Macaca fascicularis: one gene and its partners. The protein of the gene in region 1 interacts with the protein of each later gene in a biochemical or structural test. Links are inferred from orthologs where the notes say so. Each region holds a gene or a part of one and is shown in the gene's direction. Other genes may lie near its edges.

Evidence for each region.
Region 2: the proteins of JAG1 (region 1) and NOTCH1 form a complex in vitro, tested with the Homo sapiens proteins (3 studies listed by BioGRID and IntAct, with this or other methods). The link is inferred for Macaca fascicularis from reciprocal best matches to the Homo sapiens genes JAG1 and NOTCH1.
Region 3: the proteins of JAG1 (region 1) and NOTCH2 form a complex in vitro, tested with the Homo sapiens proteins (2 studies listed by BioGRID). The link is inferred for Macaca fascicularis from reciprocal best matches to the Homo sapiens genes JAG1 and NOTCH2.
Region 4: the proteins of JAG1 (region 1) and CD46 form a complex in vitro, tested with the Homo sapiens proteins (2 studies listed by IntAct, with this or other methods). The link is inferred for Macaca fascicularis from reciprocal best matches to the Homo sapiens genes JAG1 and CD46.

The regions. Positions count from the first base shown.
Region 1 is NC_088384.1:76,678,580-76,684,489, forward strand, and holds the start of JAG1 (protein jagged-1), read left to right. Parts: upstream 1-1,899; 5' UTR 1,900-2,368; coding exon 2,369-2,449; intron 2,450-2,903; coding exon 2,904-3,209; intron 3,210-5,910. UniProt on the Homo sapiens protein: Ligand for multiple Notch receptors and involved in the mediation of Notch signaling. May be involved in cell-fate decisions during hematopoiesis. Seems to be involved in early and late stages of mammalian cardiovascular development.
Region 2 is NC_088389.1:2,813,401-2,819,299, forward strand, and holds the start of NOTCH1 (neurogenic locus notch homolog protein 1), read left to right. Parts: upstream 1-2,509; 5' UTR 2,510-2,764; coding exon 2,765-2,825; intron 2,826-4,423; coding exon 4,424-4,502; intron 4,503-5,899. UniProt on the Homo sapiens protein: Functions as a receptor for membrane-bound ligands Jagged-1 (JAG1), Jagged-2 (JAG2) and Delta-1 (DLL1) to regulate cell-fate determination.
Region 3 is NC_088375.1:114,479,066-114,484,262, forward strand, and holds part of NOTCH2 (neurogenic locus notch homolog protein 2), read left to right. Parts: intron 1-101; coding exon 102-198; intron 199-1,768; coding exon 1,769-1,937; intron 1,938-2,563; coding exon 2,564-2,865; intron 2,866-3,621; coding exon 3,622-3,769; intron 3,770-4,424; coding exon 4,425-4,522; intron 4,523-5,197. UniProt on the Homo sapiens protein: Functions as a receptor for membrane-bound ligands Jagged-1 (JAG1), Jagged-2 (JAG2) and Delta-1 (DLL1) to regulate cell-fate determination.
Region 4 is NC_088375.1:65,570,217-65,576,186, forward strand, and holds the start of CD46 (membrane cofactor protein), read left to right. Parts: upstream 1-2,435; 5' UTR 2,436-2,561; coding exon 2,562-2,658; exon of another isoform or gene 2,659-3,017; intron 3,018-5,970. UniProt on the Homo sapiens protein: Acts as a cofactor for complement factor I, a serine protease which protects autologous cells against complement-mediated injury by cleaving C3b and C4b deposited on host tissue.

The DNA.
Region 1 (5,910 bases):
CGGCCTCCCAAAGTGCTGGGATTACAGGCGCGACCCACAGCGCAAGGCCCATTTTACTTTTAAACCGTTATTTAGCACCCAAACTCAGGGATACATGGAAGTATAAATTATAACAGGACAGATAAGTGGGGAGACTGATGTTGATGGAAACTTCAGTGAGAAAAGTGTAGATAGGATTACAGTTGACAACTGGATGCCTTGCATTTAGGATAACTGGGAGAAGGGAGGCTGGGACACATTGAAACACCCAGGTTGTTGCTGCCTACCCCACTTGCTAACATGACCAGTCTTAAACCTGCTCTGTTCTTAGAAACCTCCCTTCCAAAACGTGGATTATCTCGCCAGTGCTCAAGATGGGACACATTAACACTAAGTAAGCACTTTTCTTAGGAGCATTTCTTAGGCTGTTAAAATGCCAAGACTCCTAACCATCCTTGGTAGCTTTGAACCTATGTAAAGAGGTCAGTTAGCTGCCCTAGTTTATTCCTCAGAATGATGAGATCTGGCACTGAAAATGTTGTTCATACTGAGCCTCCCATCAAATGCAGTAAGTAGATAACCACAAACACCCACCCTTTTATGCTCATAACTCAGCATGTTGGAAACTATTTTCCCTTGACCTATTGCCAGCCCATCACGCCCCATACTCAGAACTCAAGTCCCAAACCGGCCGCTGAACAGTCACGCTTTTCTGCAGGACATACCCAATGTTAGGGCCAAAACTTTGTCCACCCTTCAAAGGAAGTCGATGTTTCCATATAAAGGCCCCCTCAAATGCAACAGCAAGCCCGTTGGGAGAGGGGTTGGCAGAGGCTACGGCCAGCCCATGGGCTTTCTTCGACCTTGATTATGACCGGGAGTGTAGATGTTAATTGCCAGGCTTGCCTCAAGGTGGAAAACAGTATCGGTTTCCACTGCCACCCCAGAGAAGGCAAGTTCCGCGGCTGGCGGTGGTGGGGACACGGTCCCTTCCAGGCCCCTTGCCACCCAGAGAGCAGCTCGGAGGCCGCCTACAGGTGCAATACCGGCACTGCGGCCGGGGCGGCGGGCCGGGGAGGGCTTCCAAGCCCACCAGCATCTCCGCAGGCCCTTCCCAAAGCCTGAACACGGCCCCGGCGTGCCCACCGCCTTCTACCCCCGGTTTCCCTGCGCCTCTGCCCCGGCGCGGTTTGGAAAGGAAGCTGGGAGCCCTCCCAGGCTCCGCAGACTCGGATTTGGGAGGGAGTGGGGCGCGGCCGAGGCTTCCCCTCGAATCTGCGGCAAGCCTGGCTCCAGGAAAGTTTTTCAAAGTTCCCAGCAGCGTCTGCCCAGGTCGCCTCCGCGGGGCGAGCAGACGGCGGCAAGCGCGCCAGCCTCGCCGCCGCCTCTGCCGCCAGCAGAGCGCTCTGGGCGGCTCGCTCGCGGGAAGCGGGCCGAACTCCCGGCGGGCAGGCAGGCCCTCCTCCCGGGGCAAAAGCCGCAGCTGACGCAGGCGGCTCGGAAGGCGGAAGCTGCCCCGCTCCGACCGCTCCGCCAGCGCCGCGGCGCCTACACCTGGGGCCCCGACGCGCGGGCAAAGGCTCCCGGTCCCGGGCGCCCGAGGGGGCGGTCCCCGCTGGGGGCCTCCACGCGTCCCTAAGCAACCATCCCTTCCAAGTACCTCCCCGCACTCTCCCTTCCCTCCTGGCCCGAAGCTCCCGAGAACAGGGGTTGCTGTGGGGCCCCGGTATTTCTTTGCCGCCCTAAGCATCCACGAGCCCCCGACCCCTTCCAAGTTCCTCCCCGCACTACCCCCTCCCCAGCAACGTGAAGGGGAGGGGCGTGTCCTGGGTGAGCACGCCCTCTCATGAATATTAATAAGGGCGCATGCGCCCTGCCCGGCGTGCTGGGTAGAGGTGGCCAGCCCGGGCCGCGGCTGCCAGACGGGCTCTCCGGGTCCCTCTCCGAGAGCCGGGCGGGCACGCGTCATTGTGTTACCTGCGGCCGGCCCGCGAGCTAGGCTGGGTTTTTTTTTTTCTACCCTCCCTCCCCCTTTTTCCATGCAGCTGATCTGAAAGGGAATAAAAGGCTGCGCATAATCATAATAATAAAAGAAGGGGAGCGCGAGAGAAGGAAAGAAAGCCGGGAGGTGGAAGAGGAGGGGGAGCGTCTCAAAGAAGCGATCAGAATAATAAAAGGAGGCCGGGCTCTTTGCCTTCTGGAAAGGGCCGCTCTTGAAAGGGCTTTTGAAAAGTGGTGTTGTTTTCCAGTCGTGCATGCTCCAATCGGCGGAGTATATTAGAGCCGGGACGCGGCGGCCGCAGGGGCAGCGGCGACTGCAGCACCGGCGGCAGCACCAGCGCGAACAGCAGCGGCGGCGTCCCGAGTGCCCGCGGCGCGCGGCGCAGCGATGCGGTCCCCACGGACGCGCGGCCGGCCCGGGCGCCCCCTAAGCCTCCTGCTCGCCCTGCTCTGTGCCCTGCGAGCCAAGGTAGGAGCCCCTCTCCGGGCCTTGCTCCCAGCCATCCTTTCCCTCCCCTCGCGGCGCCCTGGGCGGTTGAGCCCCGCGAGCAGGCTCGGCAGCCTTCGAGCGCCCGACTCCTCGCCCCTACGCCGGAGCGGCTGCACCTGGGCTGAGCGCGCCAACTCCCGGGAGCCCCGGCCTCCTGAGGGTGACCCCTCCAGGCCGGGCAGGGGCGCGTTCGCTCCGCTCTTGCCCCCCGGGCAGTCGTCGTCGTCGGATTTCTTCCGCACTCGTGCATTTTTTTTTTTTTTTTTTTTTTTTGCCCCGGAATCATGTTGAGTCCTTGAACCTAGTTTTGCAAAATTATTTTCACTCGGCGCGGAGGGCTCGTCGGGGCGGGGAGTGGGAGGGAGTCGCCACCTCTATACTCGAAGAAAACAGCTTTCTCCGGCGCTGACCTTCCTCCTTCCCTCGCCGGCAGGTGTGTGGGGCCTCGGGTCAGTTCGAGTTGGAGATCCTGTCCATGCAGAACGTGAACGGGGAGCTGCAGAACGGGAACTGCTGCGGCGGCGCCCGGAACCCGGGAGACCGCAAGTGCACCCGCGACGAGTGTGACACATACTTCAAAGTGTGCCTCAAGGAGTATCAGTCCCGCGTCACGGCCGGGGGACCCTGCAGCTTCGGCTCAGGGTCCACGCCTGTCATCGGGGGCAACACCTTCAACCTCAAGGCCAGCCGCGGCAACGACCGCAACCGCATCGTGCTGCCTTTCAGTTTCGCCTGGCCGGTGAGTGACGACTCGGGAAGGAGGCCAGGCGGAGACTCACACCCGCGCCTGGCCGAGCTTTGCTATCCCCTGCTAGAGGGATTTAAAGGGCTTTGGCTTGAAACTCGGCGCTAACGGGGGAAATCTCTAGGGGTGGCGGTTGGGGGAGCCGGGACACTATAGTTAGATCTCGACCGGGGTAGTCGAGATGGGTCCCATTCCTGCTGCTGTTTGCCTAGTGCACAAAAGTGGGGATCCCAGAGGGGTTATGGGACCAGGCTCCTAGGAAGGCCGGTGTAAACTTGCAACTTGAAGTTCCCGGAGTAACCCTCCCGGCCCCAAGCCAAGAGGTCGTTGTAGCTGATCTCTTTTCTTAACTAATTAAACCTGGTGCGCCGTGGAAGGCGACTCGGCGCAGTTCTGGCCTGCGAACGCCGTCCAAATTGGCAACCTCCCCTTTCCCGTGAACGGCCGGGAGGGCGGGTGTGTCCTTCCTGGAGGGTGTGGGGGAGTCCGTTTCCCGCTGCTCCCCGGGAGATTTTAGTGTGTGCGGGGGCGCTCTCCGGGCTTGGCTCAGGGGCCGGGGGCGGCTGCCGCAGGAGGAGGTTCTTGGGGCCCTCACAGGAGCTGTAGACCCGGGAACCCCCGCCCGCTGCCGGCCCCTTCCTGCCCCCGCCCCCGAGTGGTGTAGCTCTTGTGGCCTCACTTCCAGCGGTTCCCGGGCTCTGGAACAGCTGTGTTTGCAGACTTCCCCGGGAAGGGCGGGTGCACGGCCCCCGCAAGCCTTCGGGGGCCGTGCCAAGGCCTGGAAGGGGTGGTCTTCTGGAGGTGGTGCCTGCGGGTGCAAGTGATAGACCCTCATCCTCCACCCCATTCCGCCCCCAAAGCAGCTCGAGGCCCCGGGCCCAGCTGGCAGATCCTGCAACGAGGCCCTTGCAACATCCCAAAATGGGTGGAAGGAAGATGGGTGCGATTGCAGAAGGGGAGGAAAGGGAAATGTTGGGGGTGTGCCCTCTGCCTGGCTCCCGCTGTCCAGGAGGCATGACTCATTGCCAAGACTGGGGTTTGGCCTAGCCTGTGCTGGGAGGGTGGGTGGTGAGAGGGGGAGCTCGGTGCCCCAGAGGATTGCTTACCACCACGTGCTCTAATGGGGTGCACTCTGCTGCCTCCTGTCCGCCAGCTTTGGCTGTGATTCTGGGAGGAGACGAGAGAGGGGAGAGTATCAGGCTGTGACTGTGTATGAAGCTTGGGGTGGCTCTTAAAATCCACGTTTACAGGAGCTGGCATTATAAGGTGCCCTCCGCTGTGGGTGAGATAAGACACTTATCAAAAACTGCCATGAAAAAGGGTTTATAAAAAAAAAATTAAAACCAACACTACTGTATGTGAAGCTCTCTTGAGGTCCAAGGACTGCTTCTGTTGTGGGATTTCATTTTTACCAAGAGTATTTATCTTGTTTGTTAATCCCCTATTAGGGAGAACTTTAAGCTAAAGAGCCTGGCTACCTTTAAATCTGGCTGGGCCCAAGCTGACTGTGAATACTCAGTGCCCTTGAACGTGTGTTTGAAGTTTAGGGGGAAGGGGCCTGCAGGTGGTTCCACCCTCCTGCCGGAGGATCTGTCTGGAGCCCCTCGCTTTTCACAAGACCATAAAAGGAATCTTATTAGTGATGTGGAAAAGCAGCAGCCTGGCTGAGGCTCATTTTGGAGAGTAGGGTCAGAGGGATGGCTAGCATGAAAACAAGGAGGCTTGCTCTAGTCTAGGCTGGCCAAGGAAAAGTGACCTAGAAGGTGCGTCTGTCCCCTTTTGACACTTGGTCAGCGAGTGCTCAATGGAAAAGGAGCGGAAATAGTGTGGGAGGGCAGGAGAAGCGATTGATTTGCATTTGCTGGTGCTCTTCTGTGGTTTCAGGCCCCACGGGTCACCAACCATGAAATAGACTCTCCGCTTTTCTCGAATGGGGGAAGACCAATGGGGCAACGCTGAGAATGTGGTTCTTTTGAAGTTGGGACAAACACATGTATCACAAGTCTCCACCCTCATGCCCCAAAAAGGCCTGTGAAACATAAGCTTTACTTCTCAAGAGAAATTGGAGTTTAGGTGTGTTTGTTTTTCTGTATGTGGTTGGAGAAACGGCACAGTCCATAACTTTCAAGAATGATTCCAGGCTGAGTATAAACGTAACTGAAACACTTAAGTAGCTGAGCAAGTATTTAAGTAGAGAGCACAGCTTCATTCAGTTTGGCAATTAACTATGTCTTTTAAAACTGATTTCCTTGAATAGGAAATAAATGAACTCAGTACAGAATTCAAGAGATAACAAGAAAAGGATATATGGTTAAAAACAAAGCAAAACTCCAAACCACTTTCGTCTCCCAACCCCTAGCAGGCACAATTACCATTTGCATGAGTCCTCCCAAATTTGCTGACGCTGGGTGTCAGCAAAGGGTGCAGGGGTAGGTCAGTGTAGAAGGTCATGTAATTCATGCCCTTTGTTTGGAATTATGACCCCATCCAAGCAACTGTTCATGTTCTAGAGAGGACGAGGAGGAAACGATTTGGTCAGATATGATATACAGTCCACGTTCTGATGTGCATGTGAAAGGCTTTGTAGAGGCGGCCCTTCCTGCCATATATCATATCTAAGTATGTCCCACTTGGTGTCCACTGCCCCAGCTCTGGTCTTGGCGTAGCTTTTCACCACTGGCTTCTAATTCTCATA
Region 2 (5,899 bases), on another chromosome or scaffold:
GGCTCTGCGGCCCCATCTCCTCTGCTTCCAGGCTCCTTGGCCAGCTTGGGAACAGCCCCTTCATTCAGGGTACCCCTGCCCTCAGGGGTACCCCGGGAACCTTGTCCCAGCTCCCACCACAAGCTGGGACAGGAAGCCCAAAGTGACTCCCACGGGGGAGGCCTGGCAGCACTGCACCCCAATTCGGCTTCTTGGGGTCCTAGCCCCCACCTTCTGATTGGGTTTCTGGAGTGGCTGGGGTGCCCTGCACACAACCTGCTTTCTTTTGTTTCTCTTTAGCCCCTGCAATGCCCGCTGCCCGGTGCTGCCCCCCTGACCTGCAGGAGAAGGTCTCCAGGCCCCAGGGCAGCAGATACACTCCTGCTCGGTAGGACCCCTGCCTTCCCCCACTGCCCACACCCACTGGCCTGAAAAAGAGGAATGGGAAGCCCGGACAACTTGTGAATGAAGCTTCTCACCTACTTGCCAGGGGCCCACCCCCTTCCCAGGCTGGTGGGGAGGGGAGGCCCATCCCCCTCATCCCTTGCTTCTCCTCAGTACCAGCTGTCCATGGGGTACTCCCGGCTGTGGGTGGTGCAGGCGTTGGGAGCTGGGAGGCTGAGGCCTGTGCTTCCCTCAGGTCTGTGCACCCAGCTCCACCATCTGTAACATGGGCTTATGAATGTGCCTGGCTGCTGGGCGGCTTGACGAGTGGACATCGAATGGGCCACTCTCTTCTCTGCTGGTAGAGGATAGAGGCCCCAGGTGGAGATGCTGTCAGCACAGCTGGGGCAGACCAGGGGAGAACCCCCGTCCAGGGATCCCCTCCCCTCCCAGGCCGCCCCTCCCAGGCCACCCCTTCGAAAAATGTTGAGGACTGGCCCCCGAGCTAGGGCTACATGGGCCATTACTTCTGGCCTGGGGCTCACAGGCAGAGATGCCAACGGAGGCACACAGGCAGTTGCACCCGATCAACACTAGGCCTGAGGCCTTCAGGCCTCCCTGTGCCCCACCCCACCCCCACCTACCGGGAGCAGAGGACGTCGTGGTGGGCAGTGTCCTCAGCCTGGGAGCCGCACAGCCCCGCGCTTCCTTCTATGGAAAATCTGCTCCTCCAGGCTGCCGGGCTGCTGTTACATAAACATCTCTGCTGCCTCCAGACGCCTCCTCTCCTGGGGCGCTGACCCCGAGATGTTACCCCAGGCCTGGAGAAGTGAGGCCAGCTTCTGGGAGGACGCAGGCGAGGGAGGCTCCCAGCAGCAGCTACAGGGGGGGATAGGCCGTCTGCACTGGCTGTTTCCAGAGTGCTCAGCACTTGGCAAGAGGTGTGCCAGGAAAGGCTCGCTGGAGTCAGGTGTGAGATTTGTCCCGCTTTCTGTGCCTCCCTCTGCCACCATGCTCTGCGGTTTCTGCAGCCACTCCCCCAGGCTCCCGAGTCCTAGGTCCCTCTCAGCCTTTCAGTCTCCCTTCAGGGCAGGCATAGCCCTCCTACTCCAGGAGAGCCCCCAGCGCCTTCTGCCATCGCACTCACCACCCTGTGTTGGAGTGGGGAGGGGGCGCTGTTTGTCCCCAGCACGAGGCTGTGAACTTTGCGCAGGGACTATGGCAGGCATTTTGGACTCCTGGCGCTTAACCAGGCTTGGCACAGGGTGCCCGTGCCTGGCATCGTGGTGGAGAAATAAATCAGCCGGAAGGGGCACGTGGGAGGGGCTGCGCCGGCGCCAGCGGCAGATCCGCCCGACCCGTTTGTGCTTTCTGGGGCCACCTTAGGCAGGCGGCGCCCCGGCAGGAGGAGGACGGTGACCGAGGAGCATGTCGACGCGGGTCCCCCCTGGGGCAGCGGGGCGCAATACGTCCGCGAGGCACTGGTCCAGGCTGCTCCCTTGGGGCGCCCTAAACTCCCTGCCCTGAGGCCGCTGCGCCCCCATCCCTCGCGGTCAAGTGCTCAGGCAATCACGGCCAGGGGTGTCTGGCGGCGATCGATCCTCTGGACGCCTAAAGCCGCAGCCACGGGGCCCTGGGGAGGGAGAGAAGCCGCTGGGCTAGGGGCGCACCCACGGCTAGGCCACTTCTCCCAAAGCCCTGCCCCGGGCCCGGGGTCCCCCAACGTGGCCTCAGCTGCTCCCCGCCCGGCCCAGAGCACGGTGGACACAGCTGCCTGCGGCCTCGCCCTCCCTACTCCACCCCGGGCTCCTCCGCTTATTCACATGCAAACTTCCGTCGCCAATTGTCGCCGAGCGCGGCAACGGCCAGAGCCGGATCCTTCCGCAGCCCCGGCTCAAACTTTTGGCCTCTGAAAACTTTCAAACGAGAAGTAGTCCCAGGCGCCCGCTCCCGACCCACGCCGCGCCGCCGGGTCCCTCCTCCCCGGAGAGGCTGGGCTCGGGACGCGCGGCTCAGCTCGGGGAGGCGCAAAGGCGGACCCAGCGCGCGGGAGGAGGCGGCCGCGGAGGGGGCGGGGGGACCGGTGGGGGCGGGGCCGGGCGGGGCGGGGCCGGTGGGGGCGGAGCGCACCTCGACTCTGAGCCTCACTAGTGCCTCGGCCGCGGGAGGGAGCGCAGGGGCGCGGGGCGCGGGGCGCGGGTGCGAGCGCAGCGAAGGAACGAGCCAGGCGCGGAGACGGGCCCGGGAGCCCGCGGGAGCACAGCGCCAACTGCCAGCCGGGGAAGAGAGGGCGGGACTGTCCGCCGCCGCCCCGGGACCGTCCGCCGCGCGTGTGCGTCCCAGCCCCGCCGGCCAGCGCAGGAGGCCGCCGTCCGGGCGCAGAGGGCAGCGGGGGGGAGGCATGCCGCCGCTCCTGGCGCCCCTGCTCTGCCTGGCGCTGCTGCCCGCGCTCGCCGCACGAGGTAGGCGCCCACCCACCCGCGAGCCCCCACTTTCCGCGCTCTTTGGAAACGGCAGCGCCCGGCGCACGCGCCCCGTGGCTGGGAGCGGGCGTGGAGAGGGAAAAGCGGGCGGCCCGGGGCGTGGGGTTCTTGGAGTCCCGGGCTGGGGGAGGACCGACCCTCCCCCTCGATCCCCCCGTGGAGGCGGACTCGCGCCGCCCGTGCCTGGAGCCGAGTTTGGAGGCCGGCGTGAGGTGCTGGGGTCCCGGAGGCCCTACCCGGGCCCGCCCTTCACCCGCCGCGCGTGGGGCTTGCCGCCGGTCGGCCGGGCGGGCGGGCTGCCTACTACTTTTCGATTTGAATAGAGTCGGTTTTGGTTTCCTGTTGCTTCTCCGGGCCATTTATCTTCTTTCTTCTTCGCTTCTGGCCCACGCCGGGGCGGATGTTGGGGCGCGGAGTGTGGGCTCCGCGGCGCCGCGTTCGCCTTCACTGACCCGCGCGGCCCGGCTGGGGCCCCGGGCTCCCGGTCGCCCCGCCCGCCGGTGCCCCCCAGCCCAGCTCTCAGTTTGGGGGAGGGGTTTGCGTAAGAAGCCTTCGTGCCGGGGGGCACTGAACTTTTCCTTTTGCTTTGCAGAGTTGAAGTTTGGAGAGCTTGGGGGTGGAGAGCGGGACGCGGGTGGGGGGCTCTTACATCTCTCCTCGCCGCACATCGAGGGGGGTCTCTGGGGAATCGAGTGATTAATCCACTCTTTCTCCGGGAGTTGCAGGCGAGAATTATTTGTTCTCTTCCAGAAAGTGCTGCTCTATGTCACACCACCCTCCCCCGTTTCTCAGCCCCCTAAGATGGGGAGGGAGGGGCTTGAGTAATTGATCCCTTCTCGAGATGGGGTCGAATTCCTTCCGAATGGGGGACCTTCATCCCCCTCCTGTGTGTGTTTGGGGGCTGCCCTAGAGATGCGCGCCCGCGGGAGCAGGTATTGGGTGTCGGCGGAGGCGGGGCCGGGTCTCCGGGGTGCAGTCCTGGTGCCCCTGGAGGCGGCCCCGACTCCACAATGGGCCGCTCTGATTCTGAGGCGGAGGCCGGCGCTTTGTTGGCGGGCGGGGCAGCGGGCGAGCAGCTGTCGCATTTTCCCACGGGCGGGAGCTGAGTGTGGCCACCCCCCCTTCCCGCCGTCCAGCTCTGCCCCCTTGCAGAACGGGTTTGAACAGAGGCAATCTCGGCGGCTGGATGGGGGGCCCTGCTCTGCCAGCCTCCCCAGTGAGCCTCTGGGGTGGGGGGCAACGCTTGGGAGAGTAGCCCACTTTGTCTCTGCTTTTACCCCACTGCGTCCAGGCGGCACGTCAGGCCACCCCATCCTGCTTCAAGCAGGACGTGTTCCCTGCTGCTCCTCTTCCCCCCATTTCTGACTACAGAACTCTGGGCAGAATGTTGACGCCCTTTGGTTTCATGGTGGGGCTTCCTGTGGTCCCCTGCCCTGGTAACCCATGTCACTGAGTAGAGGCGTCCAGGGTCGGGGGAGGACAGTGCCCCTCGGCTGGGTGCGGGTCCCACCCCCAGGGTAACAAGGGCCTTCGGTGGTGCGGGTGAGACTGACCTCTCTTCTCCTGCCCCTGCCTAGGCCCGCGGTGCTCCCAGCCGGGTGAGACCTGCCTGAATGGCGGGAAGTGTGAAGCGGCCAATGGCACGGAGGCCTGCGTGTGAGTACCACCCCTGCGGGACCTGTTGCTTTGTTGAGGGCAGAGCCCCTGCCTTCTGCAGCCGCGCTGGGGACAGAACCCTGGGGCATTGTCTTCTGGAGATGGCCCAGAGTCTGGGCACGGTCACGTGCTGACTTTTATTGGACAAAGTCTGGCAATTACTTAATCACCAGCAATTATGCTGCGTGTGGAGCTGGTCTGACTGCTGGGGGCTTAGGCACTCCTCTGTGGGCCACCTCAGGCTCCTGGGTTACTAAGTGGGAGTCCCAGGACCCCAATTCTTCTTAAAGTCCCCAAGAAACAGTTGATCTGTCAGGGGAAGCTCTGGACCATTTACTGAGAAGCCCAGACCCCACCACCCTGCCAACTTGGGGCACCTCCTCTGGGCGGGTGATGCCTCCTGGGCAGGTGATGATGCCTCCTGGGCACAGGTGATGCCTCCTCTCCAGGGGTGATGCCTCCTGGGTGGGTGGTGATGCCTCTTGGGCTGGTGGTGATGCCTCCTCTTGATGGGTGATGCCTCCTCTGGGCACAGGTGATGCCCCCTGGGTGGGTGATACCCTCTATGGGTGGGTGATGCCTTCTGGGCTGGTGGTGATACCTCCTGGGCACAGGTGATGCCTCCTGGGCTGGTGGTGATGCCTCCTCTGGGTGGGTGATGCCTCCTTTGGGCACAGGTGATGCCACCTCTGGGTGGGTGATGCCCCCTCTGGGCGGGTGATGCCTCTTTGAAGGAAATTGACCCTTCACAATTGGACCCGCCTTTGGGCTCTTGTTTGCCCCAGCTCCCTCCTCCCGGCCTCAGGCTGGGGCTGGGGAAGAGAAGGCGGAACTCATCTTTTGGCGCGGGGTGTGGGGTAATTATTGAGTCTGGTTTCTGTCCTGGCATCTGCAAACTCTGACCTCCAAATCCCGTGGCCCTTTTGGTCTGCCAGGCTCAGATGTAAAATGGGCATGGAGGGGGCTGGGAAGTCGCGGGGAACCGCTCCCTCCTGCCTGCCTGTGAGTGCCAGTCGGCGGTGGGGAACTGTTCTGCTGTGGCCGATGCCCTTCAACTTGAGTCCATCCCTGATGAGAATAATGAGGAGGTGTTTGGTGGCTGGAAAAAGAGTTCCCTCCGCCCCCCAGGAGCTACAGATGAAGAAATGGCTCCCCAGCCAGTCTGGGCGCCCTCATTCCAACTGTAGAAGGTCCCATTCCCTTGACAACCCCAGCCCGGCTCCTGCCTGCGCCGACTGCCCAGCCTGTGGGCAGCAGCCCCCCTCCCTCCCCGGCCCCCACCCTCCCCAAACTGAAGCCAATTAAGCAGGTCCGTGAGCAGTTTAATGGACAAAGCCGGCTGTGTCTTTGTCAGACACTAATGAATGCGCACACTACTTTTTTTTTTTTTTTTTTTT
Region 3 (5,197 bases), on another chromosome or scaffold:
TAGAGCCATGGGAGTGTGTCATGATGGAAAGTGTTGAAAACCGCTCTATTAGTTTATGACATAACCACCATTCTTATTTTTTATTTTTATAATCGTATTAGAAATCTCTCAGTGCAAGTCTCAGAAGCTAACCTAATTGGTTCTGGAACAAGTGAACACTGGGTCGATGATGAAGGGCCCCAACCAAAGAAAGTGAAGGTGAGGTGGCCATGGTAGAACCACCATTGTCAGACATTATCTGATTACATTTCAAATTTCTGTCCTTTAGCTCCAGAGTGTCCTGAATGGGAGTAAAGAGTGATAGTCTTTATATGTTACCCAGACAATAACTATCCTAGGTTCTTTTAAACAGCAGGAATCCTTAGGACATTGATGACCTTGGGTTACCTATGTATACTCTTCAAGAATAACTCTTTAAAAATATTAAAACAAACACGTCTCTTTCCTTTAGTGTCGTGCTGGCAGTAGTCAAGTCAGGAATGGTGTGTGTAGATGGCAATTCCTTCATGGCCACGTCTCTTCCTTATCCTTTATGGGTACTTCTCCTTCTATAAGAAAAGATGAAATTAAGCAGTAGAAGAAAGCCAGTGATCATTGACATTGGCAAAACGAAAGCCAGTGATCATGGCAAAACGTTGACATTGGAGGCTCCATACTTTGAGCCCAGGAAACTAAAACCATATAAAAGCAAGTGGTAGATTGAGCTGAGACTGACATGAAAAAGGAGACCATCCATCCACAGCTGTGCATTGCTGGGAGCTGGTAGAGCGTGATGGTTAAGAAGACCATCGCTGGCCCTCACCCCTCCTCAGGCAGAGCAAGAGATGGATGTGTTGGATGTGAATGTCCGGGGCCCAGGTCAGCACCTGGCCTCTTCCCCTCTTCACTGGGCTGTGTCTGCCCATGGTTCCACATTGCTGTCCCTGTGTTTGCCCCATCCAGCCATACACCCCTTCTCAATTTCACAGGCTCTAAATCAGCTTGAGGAAGTGAATGCTTAAGGAATGTAGCCGTGAAGAAATTATGATAGTAACTAATCTTTAGTTAATATCAGAACTGGATTCAAATCCAAAACTCTGCCACTTAGTAGCTGGCAAGTTACTTAACCTCTTTGTAATTATCATTCCTTGTAAAATGCAGATAATAATAACCCTTTCGTCTGTGGGTTGTTGTGTTGGCATATGTGCCTTATCTACTTTCCTGTCATGTACTAAGTGTTCAGTAAAGGGTAGCTGCTTTTAAATTATCATAATTATTATTGAATAGTCTTTCCTGAGTGCTTTCTACATGTTGGGTGCTATGTTGAGTACAAGGAAGCAATGTTGAACAAGGCTTATTTTGCCTTCTCGAGAAGCTTACAGCCTGGTGGTGGAGATGGCCATGTAATACTATGTAAGCACTTAAAACAAGATCAGTTAAGCAGAGGTGAGCAGAGTATGCTTTTTAGGGCCAACAAGAAGAATTAAAGTTTACTTTCTAGTGGAGGGTAGGAAAAGTGAGAATTGGGTGCTCTGGAGATCTAAAGGCTAAAGCCTAGAGTTTGGGATGGGGGAAGGGAATTGCCTAGATGATGCAGGAAAAGTAAGCAGGAGCCACATCACGAGAGCAGTGGGAAACCAAGGCTGAGGTAATCCTCCGGAGAGGTGGAGGAGTAGGAAGAGAGAAAACAATGGGAGATAAGCAGGGTTGGTGGAGGCTCTGGACAGCTTCTCATTAGCAGTTTCTGGTGGTGGCCAGATGGATAGGGAGCGTTGTTTTCACCTTTCAGGCTGAAGATGAAGCCTTACTCTCAGAAGAAGACGACCCCATTGATCGACGGCCATGGACACAGCAGCACCTTGAAGCTGCAGACATCCGTAGGACACCATCGCTGGCCCTCACCCCTCCTCAGGCAGAGCAGGAGGTGGATGTGTTGGATGTGAATGTCCGGGGCCCAGGTCAGCACCCGGCCTCTTCCCCTCTTCACTGGGCTGTGTCTGCCCATGGTTCCACATTGCTGTCCCTGTGTTTGCCCCATCCAGCCATACACCCCTTCCCAATTTCACAGACTGTAAATCAGCTTGAGGAAATGAATGCTTAAGAAATGTAGCCATGAAGAAATTATCAACTCAGAAAGGGAAGGATTTCACATTGTTTCACGTACAGTGTGTTGAGACTAAACAGGCTGATAAAATGGGTTAGATTGTAGTAGGATAGAAAAATAATATCCCAAAGCAGAGGATAGTTAGTTAATACCTTGTGAATATATCAATTGCTCTATTAATATTACATATTTTTAAATGTCCAATTAAAATAACATATCACTTAAACTTGAGCAGAAAAACTTGTTTTACTTAGAGAAGAACCCCCAGCTTAAAAAGACTTGTACTTTCCCATTATTCTTTACAGAAACGATGTTATCAGAGGAAAACGTAGCAAATGTGAAACTAATAACCAGTTACTACAAGAAGTGCAGGGAATTCTTTGCCCCTAAGAGTAACTAAAATAGAGCTGTTTCAAGCTGAAGATAGGGTTAACTGCCTTCTCCTTCTTGAGTACTTTATGGAATTTTCCATTCCTACAGATGGCTGCACCCCATTAATGTTGGCTTCTCTCCGAGGAGGCAGCTCAGATTTGAGTGATGAAGATGAAGATGCAGAGGACTCTTCTGCTAACATCATCACAGACTTGGTCTACCAAGGTGCCAGCCTCCAGGCCCAGACGGACCGGACTGGTGAGATGGCCCTGCACCTTGCAGCCCGCTACTCACGGGCTGATGCTGCCAAGCGTCTCCTGGATGCAGGTGCAGATGCCAATGCCCAGGACAACATGGGCCGCTGCCCCCTCCATGCTGCAGTGGCAGCTGATGCCCAAGGTGTCTTCCAGGTGAAGAACATGAGAAGAGTCACTTGAATAATAATTCCTATGGCTCTGTACAGTTTTATCTTTTTTAAGGAACTAATATCTCATTGAATTTATTCAATCATTTGAGAGATTAGGGCAGGTATTAGAGTCATGCCTGCTAGATGGGAAAGTGGGAGGGGAGACAGGCAAACTGACCCAGCTCTATATAGGAAGATAGTGATAGAGCCAACTGCAGACAACAGCAGTCTTTCTGATTATTAGTGATAATTTGTTGTGCCAAGATGCTTCCCAAATGCATAGATTAGATGAGAGTGATACCTGTTCTGGAGCCTTTGACTTGTATCCACTACTGCTTACGGATTGGCCTGACTGTATGGGCTTCCAGCTGCTCATTGGCAGTTTTCTTGACCTGAGTTCCTATTATATTCCCTGATGCCTGTTTATCCTTACGAGGAAATCGGAAGCATTCTGAATCACCTTAGACTGTAGACTGACTGAAGTTGTGATATTTCCCCACATCCCTCTTCTTTCCTGAGGAAGTAGAAGGCTCTTCACTTTACATCGGCCATTATTTATTGAGCACGTATTTGTTTATTCAATCAACAACTATTTATTGATTGATGACGATAGAATCTTGGGCACAAAGATAACAAGACTTTCCCTCCCCTCTGGGAACCTACAGTGTAGCCTCAGCTCTGATGCCCTTGTTTCTTCACTGAGTTTCATTATTTTCCTTCATCCAGGTGACTCTCTTTTCTGTATTTTCTCCTCTTCTAGATTCTGATTCGCAACCGAGTAACTGATCTAGATGCCAGGATGAATGATGGTACTACACCCCTGATCCTGGCTGCCCGCCTGGCTGTGGAGGGAATGGTGGCAGAACTGATCAACTGCCAAGCAGATGTGAATGCAGTGGATGACCATGGTAGGGATGAAAGGCAGGGATTTGGATTCTTACCTGCAAAGCATGCCTCTGAGGAGGGGGAATGGTTACATGACCCTTAAAGAACTGTCTGAGATTCAAATACATGGGAGATTCACTCATTCTTTCATTCATGCATTTATTCATTCTTCCTTTAACATGCTGAACTCAGAGATCCAAGCCAGTAGGAGATCCCTAATTAAAATGAGGGATTTTTAATGAGGGTTCTTGGACCTCAGAGCAGATACATGAAAGGTGTTCCCATGTAGTTTCCTAGGCATACCACTCTTGATTTGAGGATTTATGAGAGCTGACTTCTCTAGGAGAGTTGTGGAATATTCTCAATATAAATTCTGACATGTAATACATAGGTTTTTGTCTTCAGTATGTAACAGGGTAGATTCTGCCATGTAGGGGACATGAATACCTCATACAAGTGATCCTTTCACCTAGAGGTCTTCTGCAGGCTAGGCAGCCTGTGCTGAAGTATTTCTAGAACAGAGGAAAAGGAAGAGATTACTTTGGTTTTTCCTATAGACCCCTACAGAGAACTGCTTCCTGCTGATCTCTGGGGAATTTAAAGTTTCGTTGTACAAGTCATGGTGTTTTTTACTAAGAGTATGATATGTCTGTTTATAAAAATGTTTCTCCCCTTCAGGAAAATCTGCCCTTCACTGGGCAGCTGCTGTCAATAATGTGGAGGCGACTCTTTTGCTGTTGAAAAATGGGGCTAACCGAGACATGCAGGACAACAAGGTACAATTTGTGGCTCTGAGTTTAAGGAGGCTCATAACAGTGCCTCAGTTATAAGCCCCTTCCCATTTCTCCTTACAGCTTCTCTTGTGATATGTATAGACAAAGATGGAAGCAGTTTGGGCAGACACTGGGTTTGGAGAGCTTGATGAGAATATAGGGCTTGTCCAGGCATGTGTCAGGATGGAGTTCTTTTCCCTCTCAGTATTCAGCTTGCAGTAGGCTGGCTATAGATAGCTTGGTGTAACCTTTTCTCTCCCTGACATTCCTTTTCTCCAGCTGTCTCTTCTGTTCATAGTCACTTCTTTTTCTCTTGTTTTCTTTCTTTTTTCCCTCCTGCTGCTGCTTTTTCTATCCTTGGATACCCTGATGTTTTCCTGTTTGATTTTTCTCCGTCTGAGTTTTTTGTCCTGCTTCCTTCTGTCATTCATCATCTCTCAGTTTTCTTCATTTTCCTCATCTTAGTCCTTTCTTGCACATGTTTTGTCTCTTCTTTCTTTCACTGTTTCCCTTATTTTTCCCAGTCCTGTGCATGCCTTAGTTTTTTCTCTTCCTACCTTTCTTATTTGTAACTCCTTTTCCTATTAGAACCTTATTTTGATAAGCTCAGTACTCTTTTAAGTGAGTCTCTGGCTCAGGGGCATGCTTTATTTTATGAATTCCCAACTAAAGAGATGT
Region 4 (5,970 bases), on another chromosome or scaffold:
TATTCATTGTATACCTATTATAGATTTTGGCACTGTAGATATAACGAGAAAATGCTATCCCTGACTCATGAAACTTATCCAAAAAGTAGAGAACAAGGCTCAGAGCCATTCAAATGAAGCCTCAGTTGAATCAAATAAAAATAAGTTTTAAATATTTAATGTGAAAATCTTCGAGTATGTTAAGAATGGCTTGATTAACCCCAGGGATAGAAATTTTACTGATTGAAAGAAAGTTTCAATAAAATATCAATCTTTGAATCTTATCTGACACTTGAAACTAGGAAATCAAACACTAGCCATATTTTTTCTTCTATAGTTTATAATAAAATTCCTCATGAGAAAAAAGACATTTTTCTTCCAAGCCTGAAAATAGATGGAGAATTTTTAACATTTATTGTTGCAGAGGACAATAAATAGACTATCCACTTTTGCAAATGAGTGCTGGCATTGAGCCACAGAACATGTCTGTCATATAACTCTTTCACACCATACATTAACAGAAATAATAATTTCCCCTCATTGAGTTTCCTATTTACTATCTCTTTAATTGTACCTGCTTTAATTGCTGTCATGGAGCGTCTGAATTTTATAATCCAAGATACTAAGATGTTTATTTGATATACCACCTCCACACTTAATGTCTTATAATCTCTGCCAAGAATTTTAAAATTTTTGTTGGTCTGACAGGAAGAGGAATTCCATGGTTTGGTGAACCCAGAAAGTCTTCAGTACATCTCAGTTATAAAACTGCTAAATACACTTAAGTTCTATAATTCTATAAGACCCATTTGAGGTTTACACACTGAGCATCCAGTTCCTCATCTTCCTCTTCATAGGTTAACCCTGTGTAGTACAAGTTCTACTCCCATAATTCTATGAACAAAACAGCCCTTGATACATAGGTTTGATTTTTAAAATATATTTTCTTTACTTTATTCTAAATGTAATATAAGGTCAACATAGAAAACAGAAAACTGAAAAGCATAAGGAAAGTGAAATATCTATAATCTTATCAACCATTATTTTTGTTGTATTCCCAGTTTTTTATATATATTAGTATGGTACTTTTAATAAAAGTAATGCCAAAAGGCATATGCCAATTTGAACTCTGCTTTTTCCACTTACAATTATATCAGTTTCTCATATTTGCTATTCTTCTGCAATATTTGCTGCATAGAATTCCATCACACAAAGCTAACTACCAGAAATTCCTTATTACTTTTGCTAGACACTTAGGGTTTACATTTTTTAAAATTTATAAATCTTTGATCACAGCTCTGATGATTTCTCTGGGAACTGATAGCCTAACAGAACTCATGTCCACTTTAAGACTTTTAACATTCTGAAAAATTGTATTACAAACAGAGTGCTGGTCTCCCTGCAACACGTTCACTCACACTGGCTGAGGTTTTAATTCTTTGCCAGTCTGAGAGGAAGAAATGCCAACTCTTTGTTTGCTCTTGTAATGCCAGTCATGTCCCTTTTTTTCCTGTTACCAGTCATACCGGTTTACTACTCAGAACCCTACAAATCAATCCTGCTCATTCTTAATTTTCCGATATTCTTCCTAAGATTGTTTCACCAGAAAACTTCTCCCCCTTATCCACTCTTCACCTAACAATTTCTACCCACCCCAATCCTCCTGCATTCATTGCTTCCAACTGGCACGTAGGACACCCTTGGTCTTACATTGTTTATGCATGTGTATTTAGTCTTCAATAAAACATTCAGTTGCTCAAGGGCAAGGGCCCCATAGAGTCTCAATATGCTAACGGCCTGGTGTTGCCTAATAATTTAGATTCTGAGGGGTCCTCTCCAGGGAGGGGAGCAAAGAGCAAATTATCTTAGGGGCTGGGAGTGCAGAAGTCAAACCTTTGAGATTGTGAAAACAAGACGGCCCCGAGAAGATTCAGTAGCAGGTATTCAAGCAGGAAAAACTCACATATTGTTTCTAATAATGCCTGACTAATGCAAAATACCAAATAAGGGCCCAGGCAGTCCAGACGGCCTGCAGGGCCCCAGGATAAAACTAACCCTGAGGGGTGCTGGCCCACGGTGACCCCCTGCCTGGACTCTGGATCTCTGTTTTTACGTCGAAGTGCTTTATTCTTGATTCTCGAGTTCCCGGAAACGATGACCAAAGCAGCTTAGTTTTCCACCCTTCCTTGGTCACAAATATGACGATGAGGCAGCCCTTTCCCGCACGACGCCTCAGGCTTCCGGGATGGTCAGCCAAAAGTTTACCAAGAAAAGAGGCGGGTCCCGGAAGCCAGGGCAGGTAGGCCCCGCCAGGGCCACGCCCTGTCTCCTCGAAGGCCAACGGCTACCTCGGGCTCCGACCCCACAGCCCGCCGATTGGTCTCAGCCTCCCTCGTGAGTCGACTGACTTCCGCCCCCGGCGCGGTTCAGGCCACGCCCACCTGTTCTGCGGCCCTAGATACTTTGTGAGTTGGTGATTGTTGCGTACCATAGCCGGACTCAGAAGGGGCTTCCCTGCTCGGCTGGCTCTCGGTTTCTCTGCTCTCCCTCCGGAAAAATAGCGGCGTCTTCCGCATCGCGCCATGGCTTCTTCCGGCCGCCGCGAGCGTCCCTTTTCTTCCGGTCGGTTTCCTGGGTTGCTTTTGGCTACCCTCGTGTTGCAGCTATCCTCCTTCTCCGGTAGGACCCCGGGGCGAGTTCGCGCGTCCGCGGCGAGGCTAGAGCTCTGCGCAGTCAGTCGGGCAGGAGGCGCGGGGCGGGGCTCACTGCACGTCGTGCCTGCCTGGGATAGAGAGCGAGGCCAGGGTTCTCCGAGGGGTGTAGTGCTCAGATCCTGGGGGTATGTGGCGGGGATTGCGGGGACCACGCAGAGCCCGAGGTGAAGCTTGTTTCGGGGCGTGGTGTGCGCGGCCGGCATTTACGCAGGATCTGGCTGTGTCCCCTTCAAAAGCGTGAACAGTGTTTTCGGGATTGAGCCCTGTCGACAAGGGGAGTGCGGACTGCGCGCCCCAGGTGAGGGCTTGCTCTGGAGTGCACAGGTGCGTGGGAGTGTTGCTAGGGCCCGTGCTGTGCCCGTGGTGAGAGTTTGCCCTGTGTTCCCTTGGTGCCTTGGTGAGTGGAGTGTTCATTAGGGCTTGGACAGTACCCGCGGTAAGGGTTGCAGTGCGTCTGCTGTGCCCCATGTGCTGGACTGGGCTGGGCGAGAGGGGCCTGACCAGGTGTTGCTGGGAGCCTGTTGTGCGCAAGTGGCCTGTGTGCAGAGTTCACTGTGGGCAAGACAGCTAGCTCACTGTTTTCTTTGAATGGAGTGAGCGCGGACTCTGGGGCTGGGGAGGGCATATTGGGTGAGAGCAGGCTCTCAGTGCCTGGTGTTAGAGAGGTGGTAAGGGCGCGCCATGCTTTTTGTGCCTTCTGTGAACAGACTTCTGTGTTGCCTGAGCTCCTATTAGTTTTTAAATGGCTGCTTTTTTGGGGGTGGGTGGACCATCGAGTCATCTTCCTGTTCCCAACCAATAGAGACAGTATCTGATTCCATTACCTAATGGATTTTTGACATTGTTTTCCTTCTTTTCATTAGAGTCATATTTGAGAGATGTGAAGCAACCTAAAAAACACTGGTAACCAAGCCTAGTGAGAAATTAGTATCCTAACAAAGGAAGGCAAATAATGTTAATCTTGTTTTCCCCTACAGCTCATAAACTAAAGCTTAAGGCCTATCCCACTAAATTTGTATTGTATTTCATTGAATGGAATCAGTAATTTTAAAAATGCATGCTAGGCCAGGCGCAGTGACTGACGCCTGTGATCCCAGCAGTTTGGGAAGCCCAGGCGGGGTGATTGCTTGTGCCCAGGAGTTCGAGATCAACGTGGGTAACATGGCAAAACCCCATCTGTACAAAAAATACAAAAATTAGCGGGGCATGGTGGTGTGTGCCCGTGGTCCCAGCTACTCTGGGGGCTGAGGTAGGAGATTCGCTTGAGCTCAGGAGGTGAAGGCTGCAGTGAGCTGTGATCATGCCACTGCACTCTAACCTGCATGACAGAGTGAGACCCTGTCAAAACAAAACAAAACAAAACAAACCGCTAAGAAATACATGCTTATTGTATGACACGAACAGAATCAAAAGACAACTATTTTTAATATTTTGGTATATTTCTTTCTGACTTTATGTGCGCTTCATGTGTATCTATGTCCAAATTATATTTAGGATCTAATAACGTATAGTTTCTGTGTTGCATTTTTTTCCTTAGGAGCATTTGCTCAACGAATATGGGTTTTGTATGTCTATTGCTATTACACTGGTAGGCAATAACAAACCATTCCTATTTTCTTGATCCTTTTTTCACTATTGGTTTACACACACGTTCATGCAGGAAGATAAGCAGAGACTTTGTTTTGCTCGATGCTAAGTGCTCAGTGCCGGGAACACAGTAGGTAACCAATCAATTATTTGCTACAATGTATTGGGAGTGGCAGACATTAACCAAAACTTAATAGTAACAAATAAATTATGAACCAAGGGAAGTTCTCTGGAGGAAAGGCGTATAATTTTCAGATATAAATCTGACAGCATTTAACAGATGTCTCGAGGGAGGGAAGGCTTTTCTGCTCATCAAACAGACTTTGGGGGCATCTGTGCTTGCTGTTCCCTCAGCCTGGGAACACTCTCCTCCTGACCTGCTGCAGAAACAGGCTTGCTCTTCTGCAAAGTCAGCTGGAAGGTTATGCCCTAGGAGACCTTCTCTGAACGCGCCCCCCCCGCCCCCGCCCCCGCCCCCGCCCCCACAACGTCCCCGCCCCCACAACGTCCCCGCCCCCACAACGTCCCCGCCCCCACAACGTCCCCGCCCCCACAACGTCCCCGCCCCCACAACGTCCCCGCCCCCACAACGTCCCCGCCCCCACAACGTCCCCGCCCCCACAACGTCCCCCATCTCAGGTTGAACATACAACCCGGTTCAAGTCCCTCTTCACTTGTAATCACCCTTTTAAAATGACCTTTTCTGTTTTTTGTCTCTCCCTGTTAGAATGCAGGGATCCTGCCTGTGTTGTCATACTTGTGGTTCCAAAAGCCCCATTTGTTTGCCTCCATATCTGTTAAATACCAGAAAATTAAATATACTATTCGGCTGGAGTTTAGAGCCTAGGAAAAAGCTCCTCCTGCCTCTAAGAGGAAGGTTGTTTAAAGAGCTCTGCTCAGGATGGTCTTTCTGTGGTACCTAAAAAGCTAGGGCAGGGGCAGCTGAGGGCCAGAAAGGATCTGTCTCCCCTGTTTGTGTTAACTTTGCAGAGCTTCCGGTACTTCAGTCTTGCATCTCACTGATCATTAAAACGTTCATTTTGAAGGAGGGTGATGGGAGTAGGGAGCAGTGGTGATAAGAAAACGAGAGGACTTTTTCTTTTTGTCTTTTACGATTAATGCTTAGAATAGGCTTAGTGCTAGAAGTGCGGCCTGAGCAACATAAGGAGAGCCCACCTATACAAAAAATTTGCCCACCTATACAGAAAATTTAAAAAAAAAATTAGCCAGGTGTGATGTTGCACGCCTGTGGTCCCAGCTACTTGTGACGCTGAGGGGGGAGGATCACTGGAGCGCCCGCGGTCAAGGCTGTAGTGAGCCCTGATTGTACTCCAGCTTTGGTGACAGAGTGAGAGACCATGTCTCAAACCAAACAAAACAAAACACAAACACACACAAAACAAAACAGGAAGTTGAAGAAGATGATGAATGCGATTTGAAATAGAGGAACATACAAAAATAAAATGAATAGGGTGCAACATGGAAGATAAAACTAAGAATGAAGAGAAGGAAAAACAAGGTTAAATTTGAGGTTCATAAGCATAAATCAAGACAGGTATGAAACCTAGAGAAAGTGAAAATGAGAACTCACGATGTTAGGCAGAGAGAATACATGGATTAAAATAAACATTCAATTTTTGGAGCAACTCAGTCTCACAAGGAGAAGGTTTTGTAAGCAGACAGTGCTGTG